Caenorhabditis elegans: one gene and its partners. The protein of the gene in region 1 interacts with the protein of each later gene in a pairwise test. Each region holds a gene or a part of one and is shown in the gene's direction. Other genes may lie near its edges.

Region 1 (4,217 bases):
TCGGCAGAAAAAGGATGTTTTTCACTACACAGACAGGTAATATAGTCAATATTCTCCCGGTTTACTCAATAAAATGTATTTTTCAGAGCAAGCGGCGTTGGATATTCCCATTACTCCAGTTCAGTTTATCAGCACCGCCCGTATATTTGGCCACCGCTCAGAAAGCTGTACCATTGGAATTATGCCTTGGTGATCGCTGGAATGGTTATCCTGATGAGTGATTTCGAATGGTTCGTGCTCTCCTGCGTCGATTTGTTTTTCGTATTTCACCGCTTTTTCAGGCTCAAGGATCAGATCAAGAGCGCATCGTTGCCGTTCCGTCCAGAAGCATCACAAAAAGAAGTGAGCTGCTCCTGCTAGTTCACCTAATACCAGCTTGTGTGTTGTGATTTCAAGATAAAAATAGTCAGTTTCAGTTATTCTGTTAATTTTTCTCACAAGCTTCTTAGGTTTACAACCTCTCACGTGTTTATTTTTCTATCACTCCTGCAATTTTTCTAATTTGCGGTCTTCAGGAAGTCACTGAAAGCAATGGTGAAGTAGAGGAAGTCAAAGAAAAGCCAAAGAAGAAGAAACTGGGATTCAGAGAGCGAAGAATCATAGAATATGAAGACAGATTGAGGCTTTATTCCACTCCGGATAAGATTTTCAGATACTTTGCGACCCTGAAAGTGAGTCACTTTGACAAAAATCTATTTATTAGTTGTATTTTTCAGATCATCGATCCTAACGAAGACAGTGGACGCTTTGAAGTTTTCATGACTCCTGAGGATTTTCTCCGTTCTTTCACTCCGGGTGTGATGCAGCCGAGACGTTGGGGGCTTGATAGTTTTAAAAACTATAATCCTGAGAAGCATAAACGTCACAAGTTCTCCGACCCTGACAGTATTTTTTACAAGCTCGGCGAGAACGGTCTCATAAACTTCAGTGATTATCTGTTTCTCATGACTCTGCTCTCAAGTGAGTTTTAATACTCGTTTTTCTTTCAAAATATCATTGACTTTTCCAGCCTCTCACGCGGATTTCGCTCTCGCATTCAAAATCTTCGATGTAGATGGGAACGGTGCGCTGGATAAAGAAGAATTCACAAAAGTTCAACAGCTTATTATGTCCCAAACAACTGTAGGACAGCGTCATCGAGATCATATAACGCCAAACCAGTCGTTCCGTGTCGAGACAAACTCCGCTCTCGAAACATATTTCTTTGGAAAAGACGGAAAGGGGAGCTTGTCGTCTGAAAAATTTATCGAGTTTCAAGAGCGTCTACAACACGACATTTTAAAGATGGAATTTGAACGGAGAGATGCACTGGATAACCCGGATGGACTTATCAACGAAGATAGTTTTGCTCAACTTCTCCTTCTTCATGCTCAAATTAATGAGAAGAAACAGAAGCATATGTTGAAGCGGGTTAAACGAAGATTTAAAGGAGAAAATTTGAAAGGAATCAGTTTTGGAGAGACGAAAGCATTTTTCGAGTTTTTGTATCACATTGACGATGTAGATATTGCTCTACACTTTCATAAAATGGCTGGAATGTCGATAGATGCGAAGCTACTTCAACGAGTTGCGGTCAAAGTGACTGGAATACCTCTATCGGATCACGTTGTGGATGTGGTGATTACTTTGTTCGATGACAATTTGGATGGAAAATTATCACATGAAGAAATGGTTGCTGTGATGAGGAGAAGAATGCGTAGAGGTTTAGAGCGACCAAGAGATACTGGACTTTTCCGTTTGTTTGATGCAGTTCTGGAATGTGGAAAACGAGCTTATCACGCCAGTCCTCTTCCATTTTATTAGTGGTGCCCATGGCCACTGTAAATACTTGTTTATAAATAAAGCTTTTCATTCTTTTTAACAAATTATATTTGTTATGTTCATAAAAAGTGTTCGTTTCACTTTTCTTATCTTAATTTCATTTTTTTATTCTTTATTTCTTTCTCCACATTTTAAAACACATTTTTCAGGAAAATCATGTCGTTGGCTTTGAGAAAGACTTTGGGCGTCGCTCGCTTTTCCATGAGAACCGCCAGCTTCCAGGCTGTTCCAACCAACGCCGGAAAGACCCCACCAACCCTCGAACAATTCGATCCACTGAACCCAGGAGAGTGGCAACTCGGAGCCGGAGGAAAGATCCTTCCACGTCTGCCAGAGGGAACCAAATGCGGAAACCTTGTCATGGGAAAGTACGGACTCTACGATCCAATCCTCAAGAAAAGAGTTGATACCTACGCCAATGCTCTTCTCGAAGGAAAGAAGTCCGAAGAGGCTGGACCATTCGATGTCGCTGTCAGCAAGATCGCCAAGGTCCTTTCCTACATCTGCTTTGTCATCGCCATCTACAACCTCATCTCGTTGGTCAACGGAACTCCACTTCCACCACTTAGCCACGTCAAGGCTCCAGGATCCTAAATAATTTCCACTCGATTGCATTATCTCTTTTTTGTAGGAAGTTTTATGTTCTGTAAAACTTATGTCAATGTGAATCAATAAAATTCCCGTTTAGCTTGTTTTTCCACCAGTGAATCCAGGAATATTTTCAAAATTTCCAAATCATTATCTGGCTTGAAACAAAAAAACCGATTTCGAAACCAAATTTCGAAATAATTTTCAGAAATGGCATTGAACGCACCAAGCGGGAGCTGTAGCTCGAAGGTGCTTTTGCATCCTTTGGTTATTATGCAAATGTCCGAACACTACTCCAGAACAAAGGTCCAACAGGGTCCTACTGTGAAAAAAGTGTTCGGAGCAATTCTCGGACGGCAGAATGGACGACAAGTCGAGGCGATCAATTCATTTGTTCTGAAAATGGAGACAGAAGAAATGGCTGAGCCGGTTACTTTTAGCACGGAGCATCTCCTTCAAAGAGCAGATCAATGTCAGTTTTACTCTGTTCTTGCTCATTTTAGTTTTTTTTCCCCAAATTTCAGATCTGGAAGTGTTTCCCGAGCTCCAAGTTATCGGTCTTTATTGTGCTGGGGAGGATGATAATCTGACTCCCGAAGAGAAACCTCTTCTCTCAAAACTCACCAATGCGGTTCGCAATTCAGAGAAAGCCGGACAAATCGACGCGACACTTTTCCTTAAACTCAACTCTATCACTGCTGGAACCACTCGTAAACTTCCACTTTTCGCGTTTGAAGCAGACGTGACTGATCAGGAGAAGCATAAGCCAATTGAATGGATTTTAGTGTCGGAAGAAAGTGAACGTGTCGGTGTTAATCATATCGCTAAGTTATCAACGAAACATGGAAAAGACGGGAAATCAGTTGGAAAGAAACACGCGGAGGCTCAAGATGCAGCAATGAGCATGCTTCAGAATCGGGTTGATGTGCGTTCGAGAAATTGGAGGCCAGAAAAAGACAAAATTTCATAATGAGACTTCTGAAAATGCTGTTTAGCGGTTCAAAAATTTTAAAATAATACCTAAAATTCGCTAAAATGCATATTTCGATCTTATCTCGCATTAATTCGTTGATTTAAGACACATTTTCAGTCGATTGACACCTAATTTTGGAAAAAATGTTTGAAAAAAGTACCTCCATTTACTAGTAATTGCGAGCTAAACGACTAAAATATGTAACAACAGCTGCTGCGACATGAAAAGTTTGCGAAATTTCAGAATTTAGACAGTTTTGGCTCTTATTTTTTTTTGAAATTTTGACATACTTAAAAAGTTTATTAATATTATTTTGAGAAATCTCGTTATGAAAATCAATACAGCAGCAAACTAAAGTGGAATAGTCGAAATAGTTTTACTGCTTTATTAGACTCACAATTGACTGAAAACACCGAATTTCATAATGAAACTTCTTGAAAACGTCTCAAAAAAAAGTTATGACGGCTCAAAAAATAGCCTAAATGTAGTTAAAATTTGAAATTTGACCGACTTGTCAAGCGGCTGGAAACTAATTTTTTGAAATCTCCATCTAATTTTGAGTATAAAATTTAAATATCTTGCGTTTTCAACTTCATTTATGTATTTTAAAGCCGATGGACGGCGATATTTTTAATTTTTTTTTTACGAAATCTCGCCGTCCATCGACTTTAAAGTACCCAAATCGAGTTAAAAACGCAAGATAATGACATTGTATGCTCAAAATTTGACGGTGCTTTCAAAAAAAAAAATTGTTTCCAGCCGCTGCAACATTGCAAGACGGTCAAATTTCAAATTTTAACTAATTTTAGGCCATTTTTTGAGCCGTCATAACTTT
Region 2 (5,392 bases), on another chromosome or scaffold:
ATCTTAAAACGTGTAGAAATGTACTTTTTAGCTTTCTAAATAAATAATATAAATCAGAAAATATATCATGCAATTCTTTTCTGGAATAAAATTTTTAATCATAAACTATTCTGACCACTGAAAAAGTATAAAAATTTCGTTCTTAATAATTTTGGTTCAAAGCAGAAAAATAATCCTCCTTTATAGGAAAAAATGGAACAATTATTTAATATTTTCAATTAATGATTGTTAATTTTTTGGGCACGTAGAAAAATCCAATATGTGAAACGTTTAATTCGGAACGTTAACGCTTGTGAAGTGTGGCGCTCCAGAGCTCAATTGGGTGGAATGTCTAGTTTCAACTTATCTACACAAAATATAACATTCAAAACAATTTTATTCAAAGTGCTACTTGATATTCATCCAATTCCTAATCTCGTCATGATCTCACATCAAAGCTGAAAATTTCATCTAGTCATGTGTTGAGTTTTTGAAATTAATTGATTTCTTGACTCCACCTGCTTTTCAGTTTTCCAAAATAATCAGCGTACTCAATTTGTTGAGTTTATGAAATCTATGTTTCTTCTACTCTACTTTTTGATATTTTTAAATGTAGTATATGGACAAGGAGATGATCCATTTTCTAATGACTTTATTAGAAGAAAGAATTTATCTGATTTAAAAGACACGGTTCTTGGAGAGGTCAGTTGGTCTAAAATCTATTTTCAAATTATAATATTGGTGAAACCTGAATTCAAAACTTTTTTCATCTTTTAAAATTTTGCAAATATCATTTCTAAACTCCAATATGTTTTAGATTGAACTTTGTTAAAATTTTGGTAAATTACCACAACTTCAGCTTTTCAAAAAATAATTCGAAAAATTTCGCTGGTATTCAGTTTTGAACCAGTTGAGCTTGAAAAAACACTAGCTGAAATGAAATAGTTGTCGCAGATTAAATGTTTAACTTGTAAGGTAGCTGGTAACATTCCACCAGAAGATAAGGATGGGCTCTATTATTTTATTATCACCTTGTTTGTTATGTCCACATTTGCATCAACTATTTTGACTGGAGTTTTCTTGGCTCTTTCTGTGATCCTTTGGAGCCATTTCAAAAAAGTAATGAAACACGTTTTACATAACTTTTTCCAAGGAATTTATTGAAAAAATTCAGATGATATTTTTCTGGTTTTTAACTCAACTGACCATTTCTGTTTTCATAATGTCTTCTTTAAACTTTTTAATTAATGTACCAGCGACATTATTTGCTTTGATAACCAAGGAATTCGTTCAATCCGGTAACTTTTTTTGAATCAATTTTGAATCATTTTTTTTGTTCAGCCTCATTCTACTACATGTCCAATGTAATCGATTTCTGTCATAATGCAATACTTTTCTCAAACTTGATAATTGCAATACATCGGATGTTTGTGTTCTTTTTCAAAAAACACACGGATATTGCTTTTGAAAAGTAGGGAATTCTGAAATTTTTGGAATTTTAATCTACTAATCCCAGACCGATAACATACTTTTGGATGGGAATGGTATGGGTATTGTCTGCTTTTGTTGTAGTGTCTATGATTATGAATAACTGCCAATATGAATATGATGAACGAATTTTAATGAAACATTATGTTTTGAGTTGTGAAACTAGTAGTGGAATTAAAAATATTGCTCCACCGACAATTGTACAAACTGTAAGCACAATAATGAAAATATCCAGTCCAATAAACACTTTCAGATTGAAATTTTAATACAATTTATTCTTCCAATATTTATTCTGGGAATATATATTGCAATTATCATTAAAATAATTTTAATGAAAAAAGCAGCACTCAACAAATACGAGCTCACTATTTTGAAACAGGCGGTTTTTATATTTTGCCTATTTCAGGTCCTGTTTGATTTAAGAACGAAAAAATGAAAAAAAAAATTTCCAGATTTCATCGTCGGTTTTCCTATTATGCCAAACTATCAAGTTTGAAATAGCAACTGCATTTTTGATAAAACGGATTATTAATACGGTTCGTTTTTTTTTTAATTTTTCCATAGCAATCTTGAAAAATTATCCGTATTGCAGACTGAAATATGCGCTGGAGCTGCAACGCCGTGCTTCTTCTTTTTCACTTCAAAAGAAATTCGGAAACTCGTTTCTGTGAGAGTTTCTCTCACTACTTCACAAGCCAATTCAAACTCACAGCAGAGAAGGCAAACTTCGAGAGCGATTTAATTTTTATTACTAAAATCAGTTTCTAAAATGTTTTTGCCAATATTAGAATAAATACTCGTGTTTTAATGAGAACAAACTCTTCGCAAAAAATTTCTGTGCCTGCCAAATCATATTTACTGCTACAGTAACTTTCAAAGGTGCAATACGTCAGCGGTGAGGGTCTCGACGCGATCTTGAGAATTGCCGCAATCAGTGCGGGGCTGCTTGAATTCGAGGTTTCGATTTTCTGGTTTTTTTTTTCATTTTTCGAATTCAGTTCGGATATTTTTTGTTTTAAGACAAATATAAAGCATTTAAAAAGTTTATGCTTTGTAAAGTGCAGTTAAACTTCAATTAATTCATAATTATTTTAATTGAAACAACTTTCTCGCTCTTGAAAATATTGCATTGTTTCTTAATTTCCAAATTACAATTCCGCACAGGCTTTTTTCATTCAATTTCTTTCTAAACTTCCAGATCTACTCGGTATGGCGTTGCGACACACCATCTCACCGCAGTTTTCGAATCGCCACAGTCCTCCAGTTACCCGTTCTGTATCTCGAACAGGAGTTCATCAGCCGCTAGACACATCTACTCCAGTTACTCGGCGAGATTCCCAACCTGGAACGATTACAGGCACCATTCAGAGATTTCATGAGTCGGCTGACGATTCTGAAATTGATCTGAACTCTTCGAAATTTATTTACAAGGAGCATTTTAGCTACAAAGAAATCACTTCGATGAAGAAGGAAATGTGGTATGACTGGCTGGAATATCGCATTCGCATGGTTCGGCGTCGTTTTGTTCCAACGTGGGCCCAGTTTAAACGTACTCTTATGGCTGTTGTTCTTTTTGCTATGTTATACAAGTGTGAGTCGGGAAAACGTGTTGTGGGTATCTAAATGAATAATTTCAGATGCTCGTGATTGTTTATTCGATGGAACGCATCATAATTCAGAAGGATCCTACGCGGATAAAGACGCGAATTGGGCGTCCGAAAAACAGAAATTTCATCAGACGGTACAATGAATGAACAGTCAGAATAAATTTTTATATTATTTAGATTTCCAATCTCCGAGCAGAGTTTTCGGCGCACGATAAACAACTCGATTTCAAAACTGACCATTTGGAAAAACTACTGGAAAACGTTTTGGAACACAGCAAAGGATGGAAAGAGTCGGCAATCGAAGAGCTCAAACAGATCAAATTATGGCAAGCAGAAATTAGCGATGCTTTGCAACAAATGAAAAAGGAAATCGATGATGCGGTAATTTTCAAATTTAATATATTTTCCCAATGCTAATTTTTCAGAAAAGCACAAAGATCATCCACAGTACACCAGAAAAGGCTCCAGAGACCGCACCAACTGCATCGCTTCCTCCCTCTAGCCAGCTTCAACCAATGCACATAACACGCCGAGCACTTCTTGGAGTGAATGTTGCCAACAGTCTTATTGGTGCATCAATCGATCATTCTTGTTCATCACGTCCAGTTTCTGCAAAAGATGGATTTTTCTACGATTTCATGTCATACTTCGGAACGTTCCAGGAGGGATATGCTTTGCTTGATCGCGACGTTCTATCCCCAGGAGAAGCGTGGTGCACATACGATAAACGTGCGACCTTGACCGTGAAGCTCGCTAGATTTGTCATACCGAAAAGTGTCTCGTATCAACATGTCAGATGGAGCGGGATTGTTCCAAATCATGCCCCGAAGCTCTACGATGTCGTGGTAAGCTATATAAAAATTGTGTTCAGTAACTAATTATATATTTTCAGGCATGCACGGACTCATGTTGCACCAAATGGCAGCCTCTTGTCGCCAACTGTGAATATAAGGAACGTGATGGAAGTTATGACGAGCAAGAACAATTCTGTTCGGTGCCAACAATTCAAAATCACTCACCGATCAATCACGTGCAATTCCGTTTCCGCGAAAATCATGGAGATATGCCAAAGACATGTGCTTATTTGATTCGTGTTTACGGGGAACCAGTCGATCCACCAAAGGAAACGCAACCAATGACGGATAATGGAACTGAATCAAAGTTGGAATCTGCAATTGTTAACTCTGTATCAGAAACCGCATAGAAACGCCGTATTATTGTTCCTGCCCAACTTGTTTTTATATCATTTTCACGTTCCCCACTGACTATGAATCTCAATATTGCTTCTTTGAAATCGTTTGCAAATGTTTTGTCCCGCTTTACTATCCACGTTACCGTTTGTATTTCATTGCTTTATTCATTTTTTATTAATGTGTCATGTTCTGTTTATTTCTTGAAAGTTCTAATCTAAAGTTTCAAAGTTTTAAATTGTGTTCTGAATTTTAAGCACGAGAGCAGCAGGGAAGTGGTGATTACAAGAGAAAACTTCGCATCTGCTAACTAGGGAATGGTGTTACCCCTGCAATCGCTAGGAGGACAAAACAAACTTTAAATGACAGATGAGGTCTTTGGCTACAAAAATCATTTTTTGGAATCTGCTTAACTCTGCCCCAAAGCTGAAATTTTCGGCCTTAAAAAGTAGTCCTCTTTTTGCTCAAAGTGCCGTTTTCGTTTTTTTGAATTTTTCCTCTAGCATGAAATATGCACAAAAACACGGTTTCTTTCGTTTTTTGGTAACTTCGGAATAAATTTTTTGGTTCCTGGGAATCATAAAAGTAATTTGGAAACTTTTTGGAAGTTTTCTTTTTTTGATAAATTTTCACTTTTTTCCCACCTGATATATGCACATTTTTTTTCTTCAAAAATAATTTTTCAAAATTTTTTCAAAAAGTGTTTGGTTTGAAAGAGCAGCATTAGTTTGGATATTTCTACGATTTTGGAGGATCAAATGTCATTTTTAGGAGAAAACCACTGTTGTTTTCTCTAGAGTTTTTCACGAAAAGGACTTACTTTCAAAGACTTCCAGCTCCGTTGACGGGTAAAATAAAAAAAAGTTGTCAACTGCAAAGTTGTTTTAAAAGTACCAATAAACAAATTGTCAATTGAATTTACTCTGCTAACTTTAGCTTTAACTTACTAACGTAAGTTAAAGCTTCACTTCGATTAGCTATATCTCTTTACCCATAAAATTTAGCAGAGTAGATTCAACTGACAATTTGTTTATTGGTACTTTTAAAACAACTTTGCAGTTGACAACTTTTTTTTATTTTACCCGTCAACGGAGCTGGAAGTCTTTGAAAGTAAGTCCTTTTCGTGAA
Region 3 (8,678 bases), on another chromosome or scaffold:
GTTTGAACGTCAATGTTTGCTCATTGCTCTCTTGGATTAGCTTTATTTGCAGAAACGTTTTTCACTTTTCCTATTCGCTCAATTTCTTTTTTTTTTCAAACTTTCTCCATAAAAAATATTGTGTTTTATTTTTGAAAACGAAGCAAGTCAAAAGGACGTTATTGAGAAAAAGAGTGAGAAAAGTTCACACCGATAATTTTTTACTCTAAAGCGACAAACATAGTTGAAGTGGATGAAATTTGAATTTCGCGCGCACTGACTGTTATATAAACTTGTTTTTTTTTAACAAACAGAAAGTTTTGTATTAAAAAAATCAATCTAGAAAATGAAAAACTTGAGCGTCTACTTAAAATTATAATAAATTTTCAAGCATATTCTCTCATTTTTCAAAAAAATGTTCAGTTTCTCTTTTAATTCCTCAGTATGCACTGCATTATAAGCTTTGATGTTTTCCCCATTTAAACTACTCCCTCTTTAAAACATATTTAACACTTGATTACCCATCAAAATCCCGATTAATTCGATCAAGATGTTTGGAAATTTGAGAATGGGAAATCTGATTAGTTCTTGATAAATTTGGTTTTTATATATTTTTTTAATATTTTTCACTCTGTGAATAGACATGAAAATACAACAAAAAAATTTAAAAATTGAAAATCTTCTGGAAAACTTTTGAATTAGTTTTTCAAAAAGTTGGCAGTAGGCTTCAAAAACTCAAAAAATTGATTTCAAAAACTCAAAAAATTGATTTCAGTTTGAAAAGCGGCATTTTCAATATTCTAGAAGAACCTGATTTCAATTTTTAAAAGTTAAAATTAGAAAAAAGTTTTGCTATAGTAAATAAACACCGTAGTTTTTGTTAGTTTCATAACCATGTGAATCCAATAGATCACTGTTCAAAAATTGTAGAAAAAGTCAACAAAAACAACACCAGAGATCAGAGCCATGCGATTGATTTGAGAATTTAAAATCATTCAAACCTTCCACGCAGGCCGAAGTAACTGATCTGGAAGTTGTGCTTTATAAAAAAAACAGACATAGTTCAGTACTTAAAGCGGAAAACATTGTGGACACGCAGATTGTGCTTGTGTTTTTGGTTGAGGGTTTATTTTACTGATAGCCTATATCTGACGTACTGATATGTATTTCATGTTCTTCTACAAACGTTTATTGAAAACTAGTAACTTCTCCGTATCTGCTCTTGACTGTGTCTAATCGTTACAACACTTTTCAATTGGGCTTGTAAATTAGCCTCAAGGTTACGTGGTAAGGCGAGACACACTTCCGATTCTTTCACAGTACTTCTCACCGATTTGTTGCCCATTGCAATGATGCCTAATTCCTTCGGCCTGTTTACGTGTTTAGAGGGCAACACGTAGATGCATGTTCTTCTCTGGTGTTCTCTCTTCCCATCTCACACTCCCTCACTCGGTTCCATCGCTTGTCACCGTACGCCAGACAACTACTCTCTACAAAAAACACACTGCCTCACCCCCTCTCCCCCTATCTGCTGTCCACCACCTGCACCATTCGGCGGGGGTGATGGCGATTGGAGACTGGGGTGACCGACCGAAACCATTAAATCGACGCTCACTGTTGCGTGTATGTGTGTGCCCTCCCTTTCTCCTCCTTTCGCCCAGAAAAACACTCACACAAACAATATCGATTCGAGTATAGTGTGCAAGGTGAAGAGACGGAGGGCCCGACGGGGTGAGCACACAAACAACATTGGTTTGAATTTTTTCTGCCTTGCGATGTTTCGAAAAGTTGCGTATTTAATTTGTTGTGATGTGATATGTTTTGTTTTTTTTGCCAGTTTTTTTCTCTTAAATTTCATAATAAAATCAGGCAGTATTATATATTCTTTTCTCAGCCCATCAAAACCAACAGGTGATTATAATCGTGAGAAACACGAACGTCTCCCAGTCTTCTTCCTTCTCAAGCCCTTTTGTCTTCATAAAAGTGTTTGCTCGTTCTGTAAAGCGCACAGATTTTGGTGCGATGAATCATGCGTAGTTCAAAATCAAACAAAGACAGAGACTCGATGCTTGCAAGTTTTGTTACTTTTTTATTCTCACTTCAATACTTCTTTTTTCACCGCTCTTTAATATCTTTAATATCTTCCTTAAAATTGTGTTTTGCAGGTACTATGGCTCCCGCAACGGAAGCCGACAACAACTTCGACACCCATGAATGGAAATCGGAATTCGCATCCACACGCTCTGGACGCAATTCTCCAAACATTTTTGCAAAAGTTCGCCGGAAGCTTCTCCTGACTCCACCAGTTCGAAACGCCAGATCGCCACGTCTTACCGAAGAAGAGCTGGATGCTTTGACAGGCGACTTGTATGTTACCCCCCTCCCCCTTTTTCTCATTCAAATTTCGCGCCACATACGGCCGAGGTTTCACGCGCACCTGCTAGGCCACGTTTTGTTTGTGTATTTTGGAACTCAGTTTGCTTGTACTTGACGCCCTAGAAGCCTTTGACAAATATGTAAAAGCTGTGTTGTTCTGAGCAGTGAGGTGGAAAAGAGGAAAAGTAGAACACCAGAAAGTATCGGGTTACAAGGGTGGGTTAAGGCGAAGGAATCTGAGCGGGAAGAAGAAGAATAAAGGTCACTTACCAGTGAGCTCTTGGTGGTTCCGTTTCTTTTTGAGTTTTAAGTCTGTGTGAATGTTGGTTGTTTAATTTTAAATATGTAGTGTTTACAAGTCTTGTATAAAAATTAGAAAACCAAGGCGAAACGAAACCTATAATAGAAGATTAACTTTTCCTGGCATTTTCAAATGTTGAACTTATATTCCTAATGTAATAAAATTTTCATAATTTCTTTTTCAGACCATACGCAACCAACTACACATACGCATACAGCAAAATCTACGATCCATCCTTGCCGGACCACTGGGAAGTGCCAAACCTTGGTGGTACTACTTCAGGATCACTCTCTGAGCAGGAGCACTGGTCAGCGGCCAGTCTCAGCAGACAGCTTCTCTATATCCTCCGTTTCCCCGTCTACCTTGTTCTTCACGTCATCACCTACATTTTGGAAGCTTTCTACCACGTCATCAAGATCACTAGCTTCACCATCTGGGACTACCTGTTGTATTTGGTGAAACTCGGTAAGTTGTTTTTCTGCAAAATGTTAGAATTAAAAAAAAAATTTTTTTTCAGCGAAAACTCGTTACTACGCCTACCAAGATCATCGTCGCCGTACAGCTCTCATTCGCAACCGGCAAGAGCCATTCTCCACTAAGGCTGCTCGTTCTATTCGTCGATTCTTTGAGATCCTTGTCTACGTCGTGCTTACTCCTTACAGAATGCTCACAAGAAGTAACAATGGCGTGGAACAGTACCAGTACCGTTCGATCAAGGATCAATTGGAAAATGAGAGAGCTAGCAGAATGACGACAAGATCTCAAACATTGGAAAGAAGCCGCAAGTTTGATGGATTATCGAAATCACCAGCACGCCGAGCAGCTCCAGCCTTTGTGAAGACTAGTACAATTACCAGAATCACTGCCAAGGTGTTCTCGAGCTCTCCATTCGGAGAAGGAACGTCCGAAAATATAACCCCGACTGTTGTGACTACTAGAACAGTGAAGCAACGCTCAGTTACCCCAAGATTCCGCCAAACCCGTGCCACTCGTGAAGCTATAACTCGAGCACTCGATACTCCGGAACTCGAAATCGACACACCACTCTCCACATATGGACTTCGAAGCCGAGGACTGAGTCATCTGAATACTCCTGAACCAACTTTTGACATTGGTCATGCTGCTGCAACTTCCACGCCTTTGTTCCCACAAGAAACTTACAATTATCAATACGAAGAAGCGACAGGAAATAAGATTAAAACTGCATTCACTTGGCTAGGTTACTTGATATTGTTCCCGTTCTTTGCGGCACGACATGTATGGTATACGTTCTACGATTATGGAAAGAGTGCCTACATGAAGCTGACCAATTATCAGCAAGCGCCAATGGAGACTATTCATGTCAGGTATGAACATTTTAAATTTATGATGACCGAGTTCAATTTTTTTCATGTTATTTATACAGAGATATCAACGAACCGGCACCAAGTTCATCAGATGTTCATGATGCTGTTGGTGTTTCTTGGAGAATTCGAATTGCCGATTTCTTGAGCTCATTCGTAGCAACAATCGTTGAAGCGCATCAAGTGGTATTTGCAATGTTCAAAGGAGGAATTGTTGAGACAGTTTCCTATTTTGGAGGACTATTTGCTGGTCTTACCGATAAGAAATCATCAAAGTTCTCGTGGTGTCAAATTCTCGGTCTACTTCTGGCTCTTCTCTTCGCCATCTTTCTCCTTGGATTCCTGACATCTGACAACACAGCAATAAGAGTTAAAGAAATTACCAAAGATAAGAATGCATCTAAGAAGTCGGAAGGATCCCTCCCAGCTGTGCCAATCTGGATTTCAGCTGCAAATCACGTTAAACATTACACATGGATGGTGAAGGAATTTGTTGTAGATATTGGTATGTTATAAATCTCATTTTTCTGTTCAGTGTAGAAAACAACATCTTTAAATTCCAGCATTTGACACGTACAACTATGGAAAGTCGACGATTGGTAGACTTGGCACTACTCCACGTTATGCTTGGGACCTGATTGCAAGCGGATGTGGCGCTGTTGGAAATGGCTTAAAATCTGTGCTCTCATCGAGTTTTCGATTCATCGATTTTTGTGCTGGAAAGCTATTTTACTATGGCTCAGATGGGTTCTTGTCAGCAAACAAGTCTATCGGAACCTTTTTCAACGGTTGCTACGAGACCTTGTACAACGGATGCACAGCAATTGGTAAGGAAAATACAAATTGTATGCAGTCAAAATGTGGTAAAACTTTAAAAAATTAAAATTCGATCAATCCATTATGCTGGAAATCTTTAGTAATTTTCAACATCTTATCAATGGGACATGAGTATTAGCTTTTATTTTTCAGAACAGTAATTTACTTGGTATTTGTGAAATAGAAAACTGAATTCCAAAATGTTTGTAACGAATGAAATAAAATGGAAATAAAAGTGTTGAGCAACATGCTAGTATTATTTTATTTTTCAGGCTTAGAACTTATTAACTTTTTGAGTTATTAATTGAGTAGAATCCTAAGCCTAAAATACCATTCACGTTTTATTTAATTTTTTTTGAAACATCAAAAAACTTTTGTAGTACCAGCAAGTACCATTTACACGTAAAAAAATGATATTATCTGTTTTCACTATTTGTATTTACAACAAGAAAGACACTACAAAAAACCAAAGAAAATCGCTTTTTTTACAGTTGGCCATACAAAGAGCTTCATCTACAATGCTTCAAATGCTGTTTACAACTTTTTCTCAACTATCTTTGCCGGTCTCTTAAACTTTTCTACTTCTTCCCAAAACTCCATTCTTTCTCTTCTCAAGTCATTTGGCACCGGAATCACTAACATTTTTTGTAAGTGCTACAATTTTCAAACTATAAACTTAAATGGTGTTTTTTCTTCAGATAACTTCATTTATGCACCAATCGCTGGAGTGTTCAACTTTGCTGGTGATAACTACATGTATTTCTTCAATGAGGTAGCGGCAGTCTTTGGAAAAGTGTACAACTCCGTGGTTTCCGTGCTCAAAACTGTAATTAACTGGATTCTCTTCCTCATTGCCTACCCATTCAGTTTGTGCACTCGTGCTTGGATTCGCATCAGCCAATATGCTCCAGAAGATGTTGTTCAAGTGATTCCAATTCCACAAGCTATTACCCCAACTCCGGATGTGGAGCGTATTGTTGAAGAGCCACTGAGAAAAGTCACCGATGTGGAGGACGAAGAACTAGTGATAATTCCCGCCCCCGCACCTAAACCTATCCCAGTCCCAGCGCCAACTCCGGCCCCAGTAATTATCCATCAGACTAACGTTGTTGAGACTGTTGACAAAGATGCTATCATTAAGGAGGTAACGGAGAAGGTAACTAACTAATCAATTATTGAATGATTGATGTTTTGTACATATGTACATAATAAAGATTTTTGTTATTTTTAGCTTCGCGCCGAGTTGTCCGCCCAATTCCAGCAAGAGCTTAGCGCAAAGTTTGAGCAAAACTACAACACAATTATTGAGCAACTGAAAATGGAAAACACCAACATTCAATATGATAAGAATCATTTGGAAGCTATCATCCGTCAAATGATCTACGAGTATGACACGGATAAAACTGGGAAAGTTGACTATGCCCTGGAGAGCTCAGGTGGAGCTGTTGTGTCAACAAGATGCTCGGAGACGTACAAAAGCTACACAAGGCTGGAAAAGTTTTGGGATATCCCAATCTACTATTTCCATTACTCTCCAAGAGTTGTCATTCAGGTGAGCGCTTTAGGATCCTCTGACTCCAAGCCTATTATCTTTTCATTTTCAGAGAAATTCCAAATCCCTGTTTCCTGGGGAATGCTGGTGCTTCAAAGAATCCCGTGGCTACATTGCTGTCGAGCTGTCTCATTTCATTGATGTTTCTAGCATCAGCTATGAGCACATTGGATCAGAAGTTGCTCCAGAAGGGAACCGGTCGAGTGCTCCAAAGGGAGTCCTCGTTTGGGCTTACAAGCAGATTGACGACCTGAACTCGAGAGTTTTGATTGGCGACTACACTTATGATCTTGATGGCCCGCCACTTCAATTCTTCCTTGCCAAGGTAAGTCCGAATGATTAATTCTTGACAAGTGTGTGGCTATTATCGAATTAACATTTTCAGCACAAACCCGATTTTCCTGTCAAGTTTGTGGAGCTCGAGGTGACAAGCAATTACGGAGCTCCGTTCACATGTCTCTACCGCCTTCGTGTTCATGGAAAAGTTGTTCAAGTTTAATTTATTTTGTTAATCTTGTTTTTATGGTCAAATTTTCAATTTCCATTGATCTGATTCCGAAATGTTTCAATTTCACCCCTCTCCTGCCAATTTTTCAAATCACAATTCATTTTCCCAAATTTTTCCAGTTCCCTTGTTATATTTTTAGCGCGTGTCCATTTTTTTTCAAAGTATAGAATATCATTACATTTTCATGCAGTTTACCGGTCTCCTGAATACTTGGCCTGAATATATTTGAATGCAAAACCAATCACTCTCTATTTCTCTGCAGCCTTTACCCCCTGATCTCAAAATACTTTATCGATTTTCATAAATTATTTCAATATCTTTTGTTCTTGTAAAACTGAACTAAAACCCATTATGTGGAAGAGTGAATAAGTGTTAGATTGGCATAACAAACCGTAACCGATGGATTCGCAGCAAACGACATTAATTGAGTATACCGCCTAACACATTCATTGATCATTTCTTTTGTATTCCTCGGGCTATATATACTAAACCATGCGAGAGCGTTAACATTGTATTTTCTTCAATTTTCATGGAGTCCTGTGTAGATTTAAAATTACGAATTTTCAAATTTGTGGCGTACTCTGTCGTTGGAAGCTCAGTAATAGCTACAGCGTTTCTTTGTGTAACACTACCGTTGATTTACGAGCATGCACAAAATGGAATGATGACTATTAGCAGAGAAGGAGCATATTGCAAGGTGAGTGATAAACTAAGCATTAGTAATGTTTTGTGCTGAAATAGTTTTTAGTAGTGTATACCTGAACATTTTAGTAATTGAAGTTCTTCCTAGCAAAACATAATTGTCATTTTACATAGAAGTTTGCGGCAATTAAGAGTATAATATTTTCAGAAGTCTATAAACGAAATCTGGTTTGATATGACCGAAGATGTCGACATCGTCCACAATCGAACAATTCGCGAAGCTTACACTGTTACTAGAGGTGAAGGTAACACTGGTTACGCTGTTGGAAGAGGAAGCAATATTAAACCCCGCGGCTATAATACTGGGTATAGATCCCAGAAAAAGAAGAATAATGGTTGGAGAAGCCCACCACGCAGCGGAATTGTTGTTGCGTCAGAAGGAGGAACCTGCATGGGATGCTGCAATCCAGGTCCTCCCGGTCCATCTGGCCACCCAGGAAAACCAGGTCGACCAGGAAGACCAGGTGGTCACGGGATGCCAGGAATGCCCGGACTAGGCGCATCGCCTTGCCAACCTAGAACTCAATCACAGTGTCAACAATGTCCACAGGGACCCCCAGGCCCTCCAGGTCTGAACGGACAGCCCGGCCTGCCCGGTGGAATGGGGCCACCAGGTCAGTCAATGTCAAACGTACTACCAGGACCTCTAGGACCACCAGGACCGCCCGGGCAGCCTGGTAACCACGGTTTGGCAGGGCAACCAGGAAGTCCTGGACAATCGGTGCTGGGCGGAATCGTCGGGTTTGCTGCACCAGGCCCAATGGGTCCTCCTGGACTAATGGGGCCACCAGGCTTGGATGCACAAAATGGAGCAAATGGCTTTGGCCCGCCAGGACTGCCAGGACCACCAGGACCACCAGGAAGACCAGGAAGCGACGGTAATCCTGGAGTTCCAGGGCAAAGTGGTGGATCAAGAAGACATGGAGAAAAGGGTGTTTGTCCAAAGTATTGTGCCATGGATGGAGGAGTATTTTTCGAAGATGGCACTGTTCAGCGCTAGAAATGTGTTTTCTCATATTTATAAAAAATGTCGTCCGTTTGAAATTTTAAGAATAAATTCATAAAGTATAATACTGATTCACAATCTATTGGCATTATTTA

The links.
Region 2: the proteins of kdp-1 (region 1) and sun-1 interact in a two-hybrid assay, tested with the Caenorhabditis elegans proteins (one study listed by BioGRID).
Region 3: the proteins of kdp-1 (region 1) and unc-84 interact in a two-hybrid assay, tested with the Caenorhabditis elegans proteins (one study listed by BioGRID).

Annotation. Positions count from the first base shown.
Region 1 is NC_003282.8:13,298,211-13,302,427, forward strand, and holds kdp-1 (KASH (Klarsicht/ANC-1/Syne Homology) Domain Protein), read left to right. Parts: upstream 1-1,977; coding exon 1,978-2,415; downstream 2,416-4,217. Other genes in the region: micu-1 (Calcium uptake protein 1 homolog, mitochondrial), read left to right, coding at 1-36, 87-230, 282-342, 516-671, 717-960, 1,010-1,803; csn-6 (COP9 signalosome complex subunit 6), read left to right, coding at 2,620-2,881, 2,934-3,334.
Region 2 is NC_003283.11:13,190,812-13,196,203, reverse strand, and holds sun-1 (Sun domain-containing protein 1), read left to right. Parts: upstream 1-2,665; 5' UTR 2,666-2,676; coding exon 2,677-3,058; intron 3,059-3,104; coding exon 3,105-3,208; intron 3,209-3,251; coding exon 3,252-3,455; intron 3,456-3,499; coding exon 3,500-3,919; intron 3,920-3,966; coding exon 3,967-4,278; 3' UTR 4,279-4,502; downstream 4,503-5,392. Other genes in the region: F57B1.1 (G-protein coupled receptors family 1 profile domain-containing protein), read left to right, coding at 556-681, 955-1,098, 1,154-1,277, 1,321-1,450, 1,496-1,676, 1,721-1,873, 1,920-2,003, 2,060-2,209. UniProt on the Caenorhabditis elegans protein: Involved in centrosome attachment to the nucleus. Required for zyg-12 localization to the nuclear envelope. Together with pot-1, it is required to anchor telomeres to the nuclear envelope in embryos.
Region 3 is NC_003284.9:13,582,631-13,591,308, forward strand, and holds unc-84 (Nuclear migration and anchoring protein unc-84), read left to right. Parts: upstream 1-2,144; 5' UTR 2,145-2,149; coding exon 2,150-2,346; intron 2,347-2,840; coding exon 2,841-3,121; intron 3,122-3,173; coding exon 3,174-4,002; intron 4,003-4,061; coding exon 4,062-4,504; intron 4,505-4,562; coding exon 4,563-4,826; intron 4,827-5,306; coding exon 5,307-5,462; intron 5,463-5,513; coding exon 5,514-5,971; coding exon of another isoform or gene 5,972-5,983; exon of another isoform or gene 5,984-6,041; intron 6,042-6,046; coding exon 6,047-6,367; intron 6,368-6,419; coding exon 6,420-6,692; intron 6,693-6,752; coding exon 6,753-6,866; 3' UTR 6,867-7,191; downstream 7,192-8,678. Other genes in the region: col-9 (Nematode cuticle collagen N-terminal domain-containing protein), read left to right, coding at 7,405-7,572, 7,726-8,577. UniProt on the Caenorhabditis elegans protein: Involved in nuclear migration and anchoring in hypodermal precursor cells. Most likely recruits anc-1 to the nuclear envelope where anc-1 functions to tether the nucleus to the actin cytoskeleton.